Linked DNA regions of Lonchura striata. The protein of the gene in region 2 purifies or fractionates together with the protein of the main gene of each other region. This does not show direct contact. Links are inferred from orthologs where the notes say so. Each region holds a gene or a part of one and is shown on either strand. Other genes may lie near its edges.

Region 1 (7,211 bases), on a different chromosome or scaffold from region 2:
GGGCATCAGCGTCACAGCTTTGGGGTAGGCGATGAAAGCCAGCCCGGGACCTGCAGGAGTGTGGGGTCAGAGATGTCACTCAAGGGGTGACACAGAAGACACAGTTGGCACCCACCGCCCATCACTCACCAGACTCGGCCACCATGGAGATGTCCACGCCTTGCTCAGAGGCCATGAAGCCGAGCACAGAGAAGACAACGAAGCCGGCAAAGAAGCTGGTGCAGCTGTTGATCACAGCCAGGATGTAGGCATCCCTGTGGGCACAGCATGTAAGGAAGTGCTGGGGGGCACTGGGGGACACCCCAGGGGGCCACTGGGACACAGCAGGGCGCCTGCCTGCAGCTGGCACAGCCCTACCTGTAGCAGTTGTTGTGGAAGCGGTTGTAGCTGCCCAGTGCAGTCAGGGCACCCAGCCCGATGGCGTAGGAGAAGAACACCTGGGTGCCAGCATCAATCCAGACCTGGGACGTGAGGGAGGATGTCAGGGGGTGATGAGGGTGCCAGGGCGTTGTCCAGCACCCAGCTCCTTGCTGCTCTCCCCGGTGCCCTCACCTGTGCCTCAACCAGCTTGGACCAGTCAGGTTTCAGGTAGTAGATGATGCCACCCAGCGCGCCAGGCAGTGTTACTCCATGGAACAGCAGGAGGATGAGGACCACATACGGGAAGAGTGCCGTGAAGTAGACAATCTGAAGAGCAGTGGGTGGCCATGAGACCCCCCCAGGCCAGAGCTCTCTGTCACATGCCACAGGTGTCCCAGCAGGACCAGAGGTTGGGAATGTCCCCAGCAGCTGGAAGCACCTCCTGGACAAATGTGGGACACAGGCCTCCCACCCCTGTGGGCTGTGGCACAGGAGGGCAGGAGCCAGCAGTGCCATGTGTTGCAGTCTTCTCTCATGCCTGTGGCCCTGATGCATGTTCCCCCCGCCAGCATTACCTTCCCAGTCGACTTGACACCCTTCCAGATGCAGAAGTAGACAACGATCCAGGTGGTAACCAAGCAGATGATCATCTGCCAGTTCATCTCCCCTGGCTCGCTGAGGCCCCCAGAGAGACGCAGCACCTTGTTCCTGCAGAGCGGGGCTGTGCTGAGCACCAGCAGACACCCCCAGCCCCAGACAACACCCTCCTGGTTCCCACACTCACTCCCAAAACTCAATGACAGGTGAGCGCTTGTTGGACATGTCGGTGCAGCTGAAGTTGGAGGTCCAAGTGATGGCAGTGGCATTCGTGCTGACATTGTGGCACAAGTCCGGGTTGAAGAGCTCCGTGCACTGCTCCGTGTTCCAGGAGTGGCCACAGGTGGCCCAGGGCAGGGTGTTTGTCAGCGAATGCACCAGGTAAAAGAGCCCCCACACCAAGATCATGATGTAGTAGGAGTTGCAGAAGAAGACGATCACCATAGAGGCCAGGCCTAAACCTGTGGCACGGGGGGATCAGAGCCCGCAGGCACCTGTGGGCATCTACCACCAGCATGGAGTGGGATGCGGGGTGTTGTAGGGATGGGGGAGGACAGAGGAGAACTGACAGGGACAGGACAGGGAAAGCTGGCAGCCCTGGACAGGACACGGGAGAGCTGGTGGGAATGGGACAGGGAAGCTGGCAGGCCCAGGCAGGACAGGACAGGGTGGGGACAGCTGGTAGCATGGCACAGGACCAGGGGGGAGCCGGCAAGATACCTCTGGAGGTGGGGATCCAGCAGCTGCCTGGGATCCAGCAGCATGCAGGCAAGGAGCCACAGGGGCAGGCAAGGCAGGCAGGGCAGCACAGGGTGCCACGGGGCACAGGTGCAGGCAGCTGCCATCCTTGGCCACGGCACTGGCGGCAGTGGGACGCGGGCAAGGTGCAGGGGAGCAGGCAGGGCGTGGGCAGGGTGCTGCCAGCCCCAGCAGGCTCGTGCAGCCGAGGCACAGTCAGGGTGCAGACAGGGTGCCGGGGGCCCTGGGCAGGGTGCAGGGGCTGCGGAAAGGGTGCAGGCAGGGTGCGGGCAGGGCGCGGCGTTACCCTTGAAGAGGGGGGCGATGTTCCAGGCGGCGATGCCCCCCTGCTTCATGAACTGTCCCAGAGCCACCTCCAAGAAGAAGATGGGGATGCCGCCCACGAAGACGATGAGCAGGTAGGGGATGAGGAAGACGCCTGGGGCCGGGGGCAGGGGGCCGGCTCAGCCGCCGCCGTCCCCCCGGCCCCCCCTTTTGCTCCCCCCTTCCCCGCGCCGCCCGCCCGGACGCAGCGAATGGCAAAGGCGCCTCCGCGCCCTCCCCTCCCGCGATGTAGGTCAGCACGGGCAGGTGCTGGGGGGCTCCCACGACCCCCCGCCCCGTGAGTGACTCCGGAACCCCGCGGGGTGGCCCACGAGCCCCTCGAAGGCTCAGGGCGAGCCGACCCAGCGTGGGGTGACCCCCAGGCACACACTCTGGGGCGGCAGGGGGTGCCCCCCACGCCGCGGGGCGCACTCCCGCGGCGTGGGGCGAGCACGAGCCTCACCTCCGCCGTTCTTGTAGCACAGGTAGGGGAAGCGCCAGACGTTGCCCAGCCCCACGGCGAAGCCCACGCAGGACATGATGAAATCCATCTGCCGGGTCCATGTCTCCCGTTCGGGGACGGCCTCTTTGGGGGGACCGGGGGGTCGCACCAGCGGTGCCGTCACTGTTCGCTCCTCGCCCGCCGTGGGGGGCTCTGTGCCCTCCGCCCCGCCGGAGCCTTCTGCCGAGACGGGGGGAGTGGGGATGCCCACGCCGCCGTCACGCGCGCCCGTGGGGGCGCGGGGGGGGGAAGCACCGCCCCCCACGCGCGCCCCTCTCCGCGCGTAGGGGCGTGACGTCAGATGTCAGGCCGGCGCGTGACGTCACAATGCAGAGCGGTGACTCACCCCGCGGCGGCGGGAGGGGGCGCGCCGCGGTCGCGCGTGGCCGTGGGCCCCCCTCTTCCCCTCCCCACGCTCATCCCTCCCCGGCGCTCCCCGCTTACCGGAGCCCGCGGGGGCAGCGGCGGCCGCGGCTGTGGTGGCGGCGGCGTCGCGTCGCGGGGCGTCGGGCGGCTGCGGGGCGGCCGTGTCGGTGGGAACGGGGGGCATGTCGCGGGGGGCCGGGGAGCGGGGGCGGGTCGGGGGCGGCTCCGTGGCCGAGGGGGGCTCAGAAGCAATCCACGAAGCACTTGAAGGTGAGTCGGAAGAACCTCATTGAGGGCGGCGGGGCGCGGCGGGGCGGGCCGGGCCGGGCGGGCGGCTCAGAGCCGGGCTGCGGGGCCGGCGCCGCGCGGCCGCTCCGGGGCTCTCTGCGCCGCGGCACCGGGCGGCGGCGGAGGCAGCGACCGGCCGCACCGCCCCCCGAGCCCCATTGGCCGCGCCGCCCGCCCGCGGCTTGACGGGACTTGCAGTTCCGACGCACTGGCACCGGCCCCGGGGCGAGGCGGGGGGCACGGCGGGACAAGGCGCACCCGGCGGGATTGCGGGCACTACGGACCGCGAGGGACGGCGTTGGCAACGGGGGACACCGGGCACGGGAGACACAAGGCAGCAGGGCACACCCGGGGACACCAGGGAGCGAGCGCTAGGGTCAGCAGGTGACAGCGGCAGACAAGGCACTTCAGCGCGTAACAGGCGCTAGAACTCCGGGACTTGCACATCTCGCCCCACCAGCAACAGGGCACAGGATAAGACACGAGGGACTAAAGCCACACGATTTGCACCAGGGGACACCAGACAACAGGGTGCTGCCAGCAGCAGAGCACACGGGGCAGCAGGCACCACAGAACACCGTGTCCCCCACCCGGCAATGGCATCGGTCCGAGGGATATTGGGGAATAGCAAGCACCAAGTCACACTAGGGAACACTGGAGCACGAGGGCACCCGGGGCAGCAGCGTGCTGGGAGTCCTAACAGCACACTGGGGACATGGTGCCCCGACGCACCAGGCAGAGGGTCCAAGGGATAGCAGGCAGCAGAGGCGAGTGGAGTTCAGAGAGTTTAATGAGCGCAGGACAAACCCCGATTCCCCCATCCCCCCACCCCCCAGTGCCTGGCCCACACTCCCAGGCCAGGCCCCCCATGACACCCTAGTCGACTTCTTCCATGCTGCTGTAGGAGGGGGCTGGGCACTCGGCGGGGCTGGCAAAACGCTCGGGGAGGCCTTCCGCAGCCAGCGGCGGGGCTCCTTCGGGGGCCAGGCCGGATCCGAACGGCACCGGGGGCAGACCCTGCAAGCAGAAGGTGGGCATGAGAGGGAGACTTGCACCCTGCCCACCCATCTCCCTCCCTTGCTCCTGAGGGGCTGGAGAGGTGCCCGGGGGGACAGCCCCACATACAGAATGTGCAGCCCCTGGGCTTAGAGAGCAGCAGCTGGTGGCAAGCCCCACGCAGGGCAGAGGGAAGCAGCGTGCCCAGGGCCGCTGGAGGCAGCCCCTCCGGCCCTGCAGCAGAGCCAGGCCGCAGCACACTCCTGCCCCAGGGCTGCTCAGCCACTGGCGGTCGGAGCGGAGCCCTGCACCCAGCACGGGCAGCAGGGACAGGCCACGGGCACGCTGCCAGTGCCTGCCGGAGGTCTGAGGAACACAGCAGGGCCAGAGGGGATTTCCAGGGCTGAGAGCACCTTGTCAGGCCTAGCTGCCGGCCACCCACCGCCAATGAGGGCAGGTAGGTGCAGGCAGCAGCTTGTGGGCCCCAACCCTGGGGTGCCAGCACCAGTCGGAGCAGAGGTCAGCCCACCGGCGCCGGGCACTGACTCAGACCCACGAGGCCAGCACTGTGGGTGAGCGGGGGAAGCTGCTGAGACCCAGGGCTGTAGACAATGAGGCAACTGTTCCAGGACAGGCACCTCATGACCACGGCACAGCCCTGACGGGCTCCCCGGCTGGGACGTGCTTGGGAGGGGAGTAAACCTCAGCACGTGGAAGAGGGACAGAGGTAGGGGGAGTCCAGCTCAGCCTCCAGCCTAAAATGCAAACAAACCCCTTCACTGCAAAAACATCCTTCCCGGGCCAGCTGAGGGCACTGCCAGCAGAACAGCAGTGGAGATGGAAAAGAAAGTCACAGGGCTCTGAAGTCACCTCTCACACCCAAATATGCCAGAGCTGTGTGAGCCACGCTCAGCCAAGGGCAACACGTCTCAATGTCAGACACGGTTGGAGTAGCAGCCTGTGCTCCAGCCTCAGGGGACTGCCTGCTCCTGGCCCTGCTGGTCTCCCTACGCCCTGCACGTGTCCCGTGAGGCTCTCACTCTGCAGCTGGGACTAGAGCCCAGCCTGTGCCCCATGGCATGAGCAGGCAGAGCTCTCCCCTGAGCCTGCTGCCACACAGGGTGCACCAGACACCCAGCAAAGCCCAAGAGATGGTCCTGGTGCCAGCTGGGTCACAGAGCGGCCTCAGGTGACCCCAGTGTGGAGTCCTCGCCTCTGTGTGGGAGTCCCAGCACACAGGACAGGAATGCTGCAATTCTTTGGAAAACCTGGCTTTATTAATGTACCATGGTCATATCTATGTTCCCTCCATGCCTCTCCCACAGCAGGGGCAGCTGGTACCCTCGCAAATGAGGTGTTGCATCACACTGCCATGAAGAGACAACTCCCCCAGATGCTGTCAGCACACAGCCCCACGGACTGGTGGGAGGCAGTGACCCACAGAGATGAGTGCTCACCATGGGCACCTCAGTCTGGATTGCCAGGCTCCCCAACAGCTGTCTGGGGCTCAGCAAGGAAGCACACAAGTCCTTGGTGACAAGCCCCAGCACAGGAGCGCAGCAGACACACTCCCAGCGCACAGGCAGCTAGCTGGCACCAAAAGGCTCAGCAGAAGGCTAGCAGGGCAGACTGGGCTGGCCAAGGACCGTGGGTAGCCCCAGCCCCAGGGGAGCTCAAGGCTCGTGCAGCAGCACAGCTGAGACAGGTGGCCAAGCCAGGGCCCGTGTCAGGGCATCCTGCCCTTGCTGCAGCCTCCCGGCAGGTCTCCACTTCTTTCTTGGGAGCCAAGCAGAGATGGTTGATGTGCCCACAGGGCTCTCAGGCCCCAGCAACTCTGCAGCAGCAACGTCTCTTCTTGAGCAGCAGGTAGCCTTGAGGCCTGCCCCACTCCCAGTGGGCAGCAAGGAAGGGCAAAGGAGTTTCTGGTTCTGGGCTGTGCTTTGGCAAGGTAGTAGGCTGGCCACACAGGCCTGCCAGCTGGCACAGGAGATGCCAGGGCAGACAGACAGGAGCCGACAGCCCCATGTTTCCCTTGGCGAGTCTTTCCCAGCGATTTCTGTCCTGCTGCCTCATGTCTTCGTCTCACAGCGTCCTAGGACGGCGCGTGCCCTGGCGGCCCTGCTCCCGCAGCTGGCCACGCGCCTGGGCCTATCTCCAGCGGGGCTGGTAAATGAGCGGGTAGAAGACGTTCAGGAAGAGAGCCACAATTGCAGCTGTGGTGGCCAGGACAAAGTATCTGATGCAGCCTTCATCTGGGTGGTGGGGGGTGCCCGGAGTTCGCTTCTGGCCACAGGGCCTCCAAGAGTTTCTTGCAGGCCTTTGGGGTGCCTCAAGCTGCAGCTCTTGTTCTTCAGCCTCCAGTTCCTGCCAGATCAGAGAAGCCTGCGATGTGGAAACCTGCGTCAGCACTTGGAGAACACAACGGGCAACACCCCTTGCCATCCCCCGGGGCAGGCAGCTGCCTGCAAGCCCAGCCCCGTGCCCAGCCAGCCAGCCCGCCTCCCCATGCAGCACCGTTGTGGTCACGCCCGCCCCCGCAGCTCTTCAGGGTCTCTGGTGTGTGGAGCTCCGGTGGGTGGCTTTGTGGGAAGGAGCGTGGGCAGCTGCGGGGCAGGGTCTTCACGGGACTGCAGGGAGTGAAGCCAGCAGCTGGATCCCGATGGAGCAGATGCACTTGCATTGGTGGATCCAGGAGGCAAGGGAGCAGGCAGCAGCCAGTCACAGCCCAGCTTCTGTGATCCCGACAGGATCTTTCAAATGACAGCCAATCCAGAGCCAGCTGGAGCAGCAGGAGCAGGAGGCACAGTGCCAGTACAGCCAGTCACAGCTCTGCTTTGGTGGGTAGGAATGCTCTGACAACCAATTGTAGCCCAGGTTCCAGAAGGATTTTCCACAGGCAGCCAGCCACGGCTTGGCCCTTCATGTCGGTGATCGCGCAGAGAAGCCAGTCAGGGAGCAGGTCTCTGGAGGGCACCGAGTGCCACGGAGGGTGCAGGTGGTCCAGGGTGCTTGGGGACCTGCTGAGCCCCACTGGGATCCA
Region 2 (7,543 bases):
GATAACGTGATTACAAACCAGTAACTCCAGTAAAGCACATATTAAACTCAATTGTGAAATGACTAGTGGCAGAAGCTGTCAAAAGAAACTATGACAAAACAGACAGCTTGTAAGAATGAGTAAAATTTGCTACAGCTTGAAATTTGAATAAACAAACTGAAAATACACAAATTTATAGTAACCTCAGTGAATAACAAAAGCTATCAAAATACAAAGTGAGGATTTTAGGGCAGTCACACCAGCACCCTCTTGCAAAGGGGTGTTGAAGCAATATGTATTTAATACAGTGAATACAACAGTCTGGTATGTGTATGCGGACCAGGGAAACAAAGACAGGAGACCTAGAACACAGTGATGGACTTTAGGCTATCACAGTGAGATAACAGCACAGTACACAACCCCTGGGAAAAAAAACTGTTACTGTTGTAGTTCCCTAAAGGGAAATGACTCAAGAAACTAACTTAGGGCTTTCAAGTAATACCTACATGTTGTTTCTTCAGGGACTATATAAAGATGCACAGGACAGTAACCTACACTGCCAAGCAGCAGAACAGCTTAGGAACAAACAACTGTCTCTCGTCTTTGTCTTCCAAAAGAGAGATTATCAATAAACCATAACCATCATCATACCACTAATGGACCTGCCTCTTTCGCTTATAAAATGACACAGAACATGGCTACATTGTAGCAAATATGCTGAAGATTTCCAAGTATTTGTGTAAAAGTGGATGAGGAGAATGCCAAACCAATGGAGAAAGACAAAACAGAACTTTGAATCATTAATTCAAAATCACAATGCCTTAGGAGCTGTCCCTGAAAGTATTGGCTTCCATGAGAAATCAGAGCCCCAGTGTGCTAAAATTAGCAAATCAGCCACTGAATTCTTCATCTCCTGTTTTTTGCCAAGCCATCTATCAGCATCAGTAACCTACTAGTGCGTGATAAAACAGCAGGTAACAATCACATCAGAAGGCCTTTTTAATCCTCGTGACCAGGTGTACAAAAATCAAGTATGCCTTGAACCTTAGGGTTACAGACACCATGCACTGACACAGCAATTTTCTCCAAAAATTCAACAGAGTGACTACCTATATATTGTTCTCTTCAGAGGTCTCTATAAAAATGAAAAGCAATGGTTATAAGTTAAACTATTTTATTCTTGCATGTTAAAGATAAAAATAAAATATGAAAATAAAAATGCAGAAATAACACAAAAAAGAAAATCCAGTAATATCAATGAGACTCATTAATTAGATCTATTTTCAGACTTTTAATAACCACAATAACTTAAAATATGAAGAGATCTTTTTATGAGGTATGAAACTTAGAAATTATGCTGTACCTTTTATGAAACTGCTGCAAACTCTTAGTAAATACTACATGGATCAGCATTTGCTGGGACACAATTCCAGTACATGTGAAGCTCATTAATGCTCTGTTGTGCTATATTGACCCAGGCCCTCTGTAATGCCTCAGCAAAAGCAAAGGGTGTAAGGAAAGCAAGCAAGTTTACCAGCATAGTGAGCTTACCTCTATACCGAAAACTCTCTTCAGCACATTCCTTGAGGAGTCTTCTTTCCTCCTCTGTTGGAACATAAGGCTTTGGTACTTCCCTCTTTCATTAGGAAAAGTAATTAGAAAAGAATGGACAAAACAGTTAGGGGGCATTTTTCAATCAATAAACTTAATGTCTAACTTTCATACCTTGTAGTTTCTACACTTTCACCCTGTTATACTTAAGAAACCAGTGCCTTTTGTCCATAAATGTTACATGAAATATGTAATTAAAAAAAAAATCCATTGCTTCTAAAAATTATAGGAGAGAGCAGGAAATACTTTGTGCATAGTCAGATCCCAACTTAGCTCAGTCCTTTTACTTCAGAAAAGCCTGCTTTGGTCCCTCTAACCAGCCTTCCAAATAGCTGACATCTGACAGACCATTAATCGCCTTTTCGAAGTATTCCTCATGGTTTCAAGGACAACAGGGTGTGTTGTTGGTTTACACAGACGCAATTCAGCGAGAGCTGACCTGCTGTTTCACCAGTGTGTGAGAGGTTTGTGTGGAGGTGCTGACCCTGTCCCGCCAGGCACACTGCCAGCCAGGAGAAGCACAGCGGTGAGAAGGCCATTGGCACCAGGGGGACAGAGAGTTGCAGAATCAGTTGGGTTGGAAAAGACTTTTGAGGTCATCCAGGACTGAACACCACTTCCAACTGAATAGTAGCACTAAGTGCCATGTCCAGTCTTTCCTAAAACACCACTAGGGACGGTGACTCCAGAACCTACCTGAGCAGTCCATTCCAAATCTAACGACCCTTCCTGTGAAGAAATTCCGTCTAATGTCTAATCTAAATCTCCCCTAGTACAGCTTAATGCTGTGCTCTCTTGTCATATCGCTGGTTGCCTGGGAGAAGAGGCCGATCCCCACCTGGTTACAAGCTCCTTTCAACCAGTTGTAGACAGTGATAAGGTCTCCCTGAGGCTCCTTTTCTGCAGGATAAACAACCCCAGCTCCCACAGCCACTCCTCATAAGACTTGTACGCCAGACCCCTCACGAGGCTGCCCTTCTCTGGACATGTTCCAGCACTTCAGCGCCCTTCCTGAACCGAGTGGCCCAAATCTGAACGCGATACTTGAGGTATGGCCTCACCACTGCCGAGTAGAGGGGGATGGTGACTTCCCTGCTCCTGCAGGCCACACTATTCCTGATACAGGCCAAGATGCCACCTCGATGTCTCACGGTCAGACAGGAACACCTCCTTACCTCCTGCCAGGATCCCCCACCCGGCCCCCAAGAGGCCTCAAGGGCACCGGCCCGGCGTGGAGCTCAGGGCAGGGGCGGCCGAGAGGCCGACAGGACTCCCCTTTCCCGAGCCCGCCCGGCCCCGCCAGGTTTCCCCGCGGAGCGAGCCGAGCCAGCGCAGTTACCTGGGCCGCGTCGCCGCCGGGGCCGGGCCCGGGGCCCTGCCCGGCCTCCATGGCCGCCGCGACCCGGAAGTGCGCGCGGCGCACGCCGGGCGCGGTGCGCGTGCGCGGGCGCCGCGGGGCGGCGGCACCGCCGGCGCTGGGCGCGGGCCGCGCTCTCGGGAACGGCAAAAGCTTCTGTCCGTCCCTGCCGGCTCCGGATGGCGGTACGGTACCCCCAGCATTGCTACCCGCTTGCTGAAGATGCTTGGCCAGAATTGCCTAGAAGGAAAGCATCTCTGTTGCCTAAAAAAAGAGGTTTTCTGGGTGAGGACTAAGCGATGGCTGCTGGGCAACTCTTGAGCTCGAGAGCAGTATAAATTTGAATTGTCATGGAGTAGAAGACTAGGGAGTTGTGTGCTTGATTCTAGTCAATGCCATGGCAGCTCTAGCGGGTGCCTGCAGTTTTTGAGAAATAAGGAGAAGCTGAGGGGGAAAAGAAAGGTTTTCATAGTGCAAGGTATGCCTTGACATGTTCTTGTAAACAAGCAGTACTGTGGCTTGAGCTCGCCATATGCCGATATGCCCATACTTGCCTGTGGAATGTACCACTCCCTTTAAGCCTTTTGCAGAGCAAGCCATTGTCTCTTTACCCCAGAATCTGGTTTAAATTGCAGCTTTCTGATGGCTGTACATAAAGGGCCCATGCCTGAAGATAGGAGAAGGAAGGTCTTTGAGATTGAAGGTCTGAAATTGGTAGAGAACTATAAAAGGAACACTGTGAACATGTGAAGGGCATAGGGCAAATAGACTAATGAAAGCTATAGAGGAGATAGGATTCTTGAAACAAGATAGGTGAATAGAACCAGAAACTATGTATACTGGGGTTCTTTTATTCATACCTCTTATCATAAAATACATATATTTTTAATTTATTTTTGTGGGGTTGGCCATGCTTGAGCTGCTGATGACTCTGAGCTGCTGTTTTGCTCCTCTCTTGTAAGATTGATAGTTATCCATTCAGTTTTCTCACTTTACTGTATTCAAGTCTCTTAGACTTCTAATGGGGAAAAAACTAAAATCATGCAGCAGACTGGTGAGTTTACCATCCATTCAAAAATATTGTACAGCCTGCTTGTGAGGTACTTTAAGGTTTCACCTGGCTACATACATCCATTTGCTGGCTTAGAACTTCAGTTGTAGAGCCATACATGAAATAGATTGTAGGGCATATCTACATCCTTGGGACTTCATTCTCTGTACTCAAGACCTGTTTTTGGAGTTCATTCATTGAAATAAATGTTAACAAGGACACCCTTTCTGACCCTCTGGTCTTTTTTTTACAGCTTCCTTTATAATCATGCTATCTTTCATGTAACTAAGAGAACTTCAGTTTACAATTGGTGATTGCATCACCAAGTCCTTCTGATAAACATGAAATGTTGTTCTCTTGCAAGGCTTAAGGCTAGATATTTAACCCGTTTCTTGAATACTGTTTTCTCTAGTTTCTGCTTTAACAGGTGCCATTATGCAATATGCCAATTTTTGTTTACAAATCTATGCACTAGAGTATTTTTTAAGGTAAAAACTCTCAGGGATCTTGAACTGTTTGTTTTACCAATAGGCACAATGGTGCTTTGACACTTCAGCAGATGTTTTATCGTTGCTGTTTTGTATTGTTTTAAACACAAAAATAATAGATTATTTGTAATATCATAAAGTTATATATTTTTAGGCCACTTTATGAGTCAAAATTATTTTTAGAAGTATTACAACTCACGTATCTATGCCTCTTAAACTTTTTCTCCTTTATGACTTAGTATTATGCAAGAATGAAGAATATATTTGAGATTCAAAATACTGTAATAAAAAACTTCATAATTAACCTTTAGAAATTGGAATTTATTTCTTGTGAAGGAGATGCCTCGAAAGAAAAATGAAAACTTTAAAATCACGAGATTCTTTTAAAACGAGCTGATTACTTAGGTTAACAAGTCGGAAAGTGTGAAAATCACATGGTTTCTAATAGCAGTACTTTGCAAAGCAAAGTGGTGAATATTCAGAACTCTTGAAGATGGAACTCCAAGAATTATTAGGGTGAGCTCTGTGCAGTCTGTCAAGTGGTTTAAAAGTTTCTGTTTTTGCTAAATTTTTTTCATTCCCTTGTTAACAGTCAGTGAGAGGTTTTATATAACTCCACTGCAAAACAAAGAGGTGGCCTAACAAGTTTTACAATGCTGTATAAGACATAACTGAAACTATTAGATATATGAAATAGTTGTAGTAAACGCTGATCTGGTAAGGAAACTCTCTAAAACAAGTACTGGAAGTGTATGTACTCAATTACAAAGAACAATGTGAATGGTGATTTTTTTTTTTGTTGGTTTTTTTTTTTTTTGCTTGGTGTACTGGACAATACAGTAAAATGCAACAGCTGAGAGATTCTGGTGGCTGCCAAGAGTTAACAGGACTGTATTTGGAAAAATATCTCCCTAATGAGGAAATAACAGTGCCTCATACCAAAAAAAAAAAAAAAAAATCATTGTTGTAACTACTGCAACTGGTGGCAAACAAAGAATCAGTTATTTGCCTGAAGCATTATGGCACATCAGCAAGAACCAAGAGTGGGTGTCTTTGAGGAGCTGATAGTCAAAGCCTCAATTAGTAAGGACTTTACCTGTATAGATAATGATTTCCATTAATATTAACTGGTACTGTAATGTATTTTGAAAATTATTTTACATGTTAGCTGATCCTTAGAGCTATTTTGTAAAGTTGGCATGTAAAGGAGCATTTGGGTTCTGAAAGTGATTGTACATCCTGTGAAGTTCAGGTGCTCAGGGTTAAATACCAGTGATCTGATTTTCATTGGTGGTGAGGTTCTGCTGCTTTTATCTGTTATCTGCATTTATTGGGAAGATCACTGTGGCCCTAACTCAGAATAACTTCAAAATCAGAAGCAACTTGTGACATACTTTGTTCAATCAATTGTGTGAAATGATGCACAACACCAGTAGCAATGAATCCTTTTTGTCCTGTTAGGTGCTCTATCACCCATGCTTGGACTGTAGTACAATTGTAAAAAGTACTCCACAAAATTCTTAGATATACAGGGAAGACTTAAGCTCAGCTACCAGGATACCTTTTTCTTCCTCTCCTGCTTTCTTTTCCTACTGGTTTCTGCAAGTTGATGTACATCATGTGTCTTAAGGGTATGCAGCACATGGACACAAGTAGTTGAGCATGGAGGGGCTTTTACTGCAAATAAACTATAATTGTACCAAGTGTGGTACAGAACTTTGAACTTCTAATAGAAAATTTTACAACTGTTGTGCTGGTGCATTTGTTCTTTGTACTTTTCCCTCAGTTCCACTTTTCTTGGCAATGCTTATTATAATACAGTACTTGAATGACAGGCTTATGTTTGACAGTGGGAAAATGTTGACTTCAGGATTCTTTCTAATAATGTTTTGCAAATCTTGTGTTATTTTGTCACACTTGACATGTATTTATTTTTCTTTCTTTCCCCCCACCCCGTTGTTGGTTTTTTTTTTTTTTTTTTTTAAAGCCTGGACGCTTTGAGGCACTTTAACAAAAAATATAGTTACTTTTTAACCTGTTAAAATGTTAATGTTGGTACTGTTGTGTTAACATTGGCTCCCTGATCTTTGCATTTTTTAGAAATACATTGTTATTTCCAACCACCAGACTTGTTGTATTAGTGAAATCCCGGCTAGTCCCAGTATCGGCTCAGTTTTCTGAGGATGATAATAATAATTATCTTACTACTCCGACTCACTGTTAGTGCGTTGCGATAAACCTTGGAGCCTGGCGCCTGCGGAGCTACATGAAATCAAAGCGAATATCCAATAGCCAGAGCAGTGCAAGTGCTTTATATGCCACGCCGGGGTGGCGGCAGCTTGCCCTGCCCTGCCCCGCAGGCTTCCTGGGAGCCAGGCTGCTTCTGCGAGGGAAGCCCGCCGATTCGTCTTGGAAGAACAACGCCAGTAATTCCTGGCAAAAAAAAAAAAAAAAATTCAATTGTGCAGCTGGCCGAGACACAAGTATTTGCCCTTATTCGCTGGGGGGAAGGGCGGATTTTCCGACCGCTTCCTGCGGGCGAGAGGAGCGCGCTGACGGCACGGGCCCGGCGCGGCGGGACCTCTGCGGGGCCGCACCGCCTCAGCAGCCAGGACACTTCCTTGATGTTTCCCAGCGACGCCGCTGCGTGCCCAGAAAGCCGTTTGATTCCCGGCTACCTTGATGACACCGGCCTTCCTAACGGCGGCGATCGGTCCTGCTCTGTCCGGGGGCGCGGAGACATGCTGGGCCGCCCTGCCCGCCGGCCCGGCCCGGCGCGGGGCTGCGCGGAGCCGGGCCGGAGCGCTGCCCGGGCGGCCCGAGGGGAGCGGCGCCCGGAGCGCTGCGGGGGCGGGACCAGCCGCCGCCCCGGCCTATCACAGCCACGGGAAGCGGGAGGGGGTCGGGGGCATCGCCAATCGGGGCTCGGCTCGCCCCTCGCTGCGTCGCGATTGGCCGCGGTGCGGAGGGGCGGTGCCTCGAGGGCGGGCCGGACGCTGAGGAGCCAACGGGGAGGGAGCGCGGGGGCGGGGCCCTGTGAGTGCCGCGCGCCTGCCC

What was found. Proteins that work in one complex are often made in the same cells at the same time.
Region 1: the proteins of OCIAD1 (region 2) and SLC6A8 purify together in Homo sapiens (co-immunoprecipitation; 3 studies listed by BioGRID and IntAct, with this or other methods). This does not show direct contact. The link is inferred for Lonchura striata from reciprocal best matches to the Homo sapiens genes OCIAD1 and SLC6A8.

What each region holds. Positions count from the first base shown.
Region 1 is NC_134614.1:15,520,683-15,527,893, reverse strand, and holds the start of SLC6A8 (sodium- and chloride-dependent creatine transporter 1), read right to left. Parts: upstream 3,072-7,211; coding exon 2,966-3,071; intron 2,702-2,965; coding exon 2,483-2,701; intron 2,135-2,482; coding exon 2,003-2,134; intron 1,419-2,002; coding exon 1,145-1,418; intron 1,069-1,144; coding exon 936-1,068; intron 688-935; coding exon 553-687; intron 462-552; coding exon 358-461; intron 255-357; coding exon 130-254; intron 51-129; coding exon 1-50. Other genes in the region: USP19 (ubiquitin carboxyl-terminal hydrolase 19), read right to left, coding at 4,052-4,192. UniProt on the Homo sapiens protein: Creatine:sodium symporter which mediates the uptake of creatine. Plays an important role in supplying creatine to the brain via the blood-brain barrier.
Region 2 is NC_134606.1:26,071,608-26,079,150, reverse strand, and holds the start of OCIAD1 (OCIA domain-containing protein 1), read right to left. Parts: upstream 3,009-7,543; 5' UTR 2,981-3,008; coding exon 2,930-2,980; intron 1,616-2,929; coding exon 1,531-1,615; intron 1-1,530. UniProt on the Homo sapiens protein: Maintains stem cell potency. Increases STAT3 phosphorylation and controls ERK phosphorylation. May act as a scaffold, increasing STAT3 recruitment onto endosomes. Involved in integrin-mediated cancer cell adhesion and colony formation in ovarian cancer.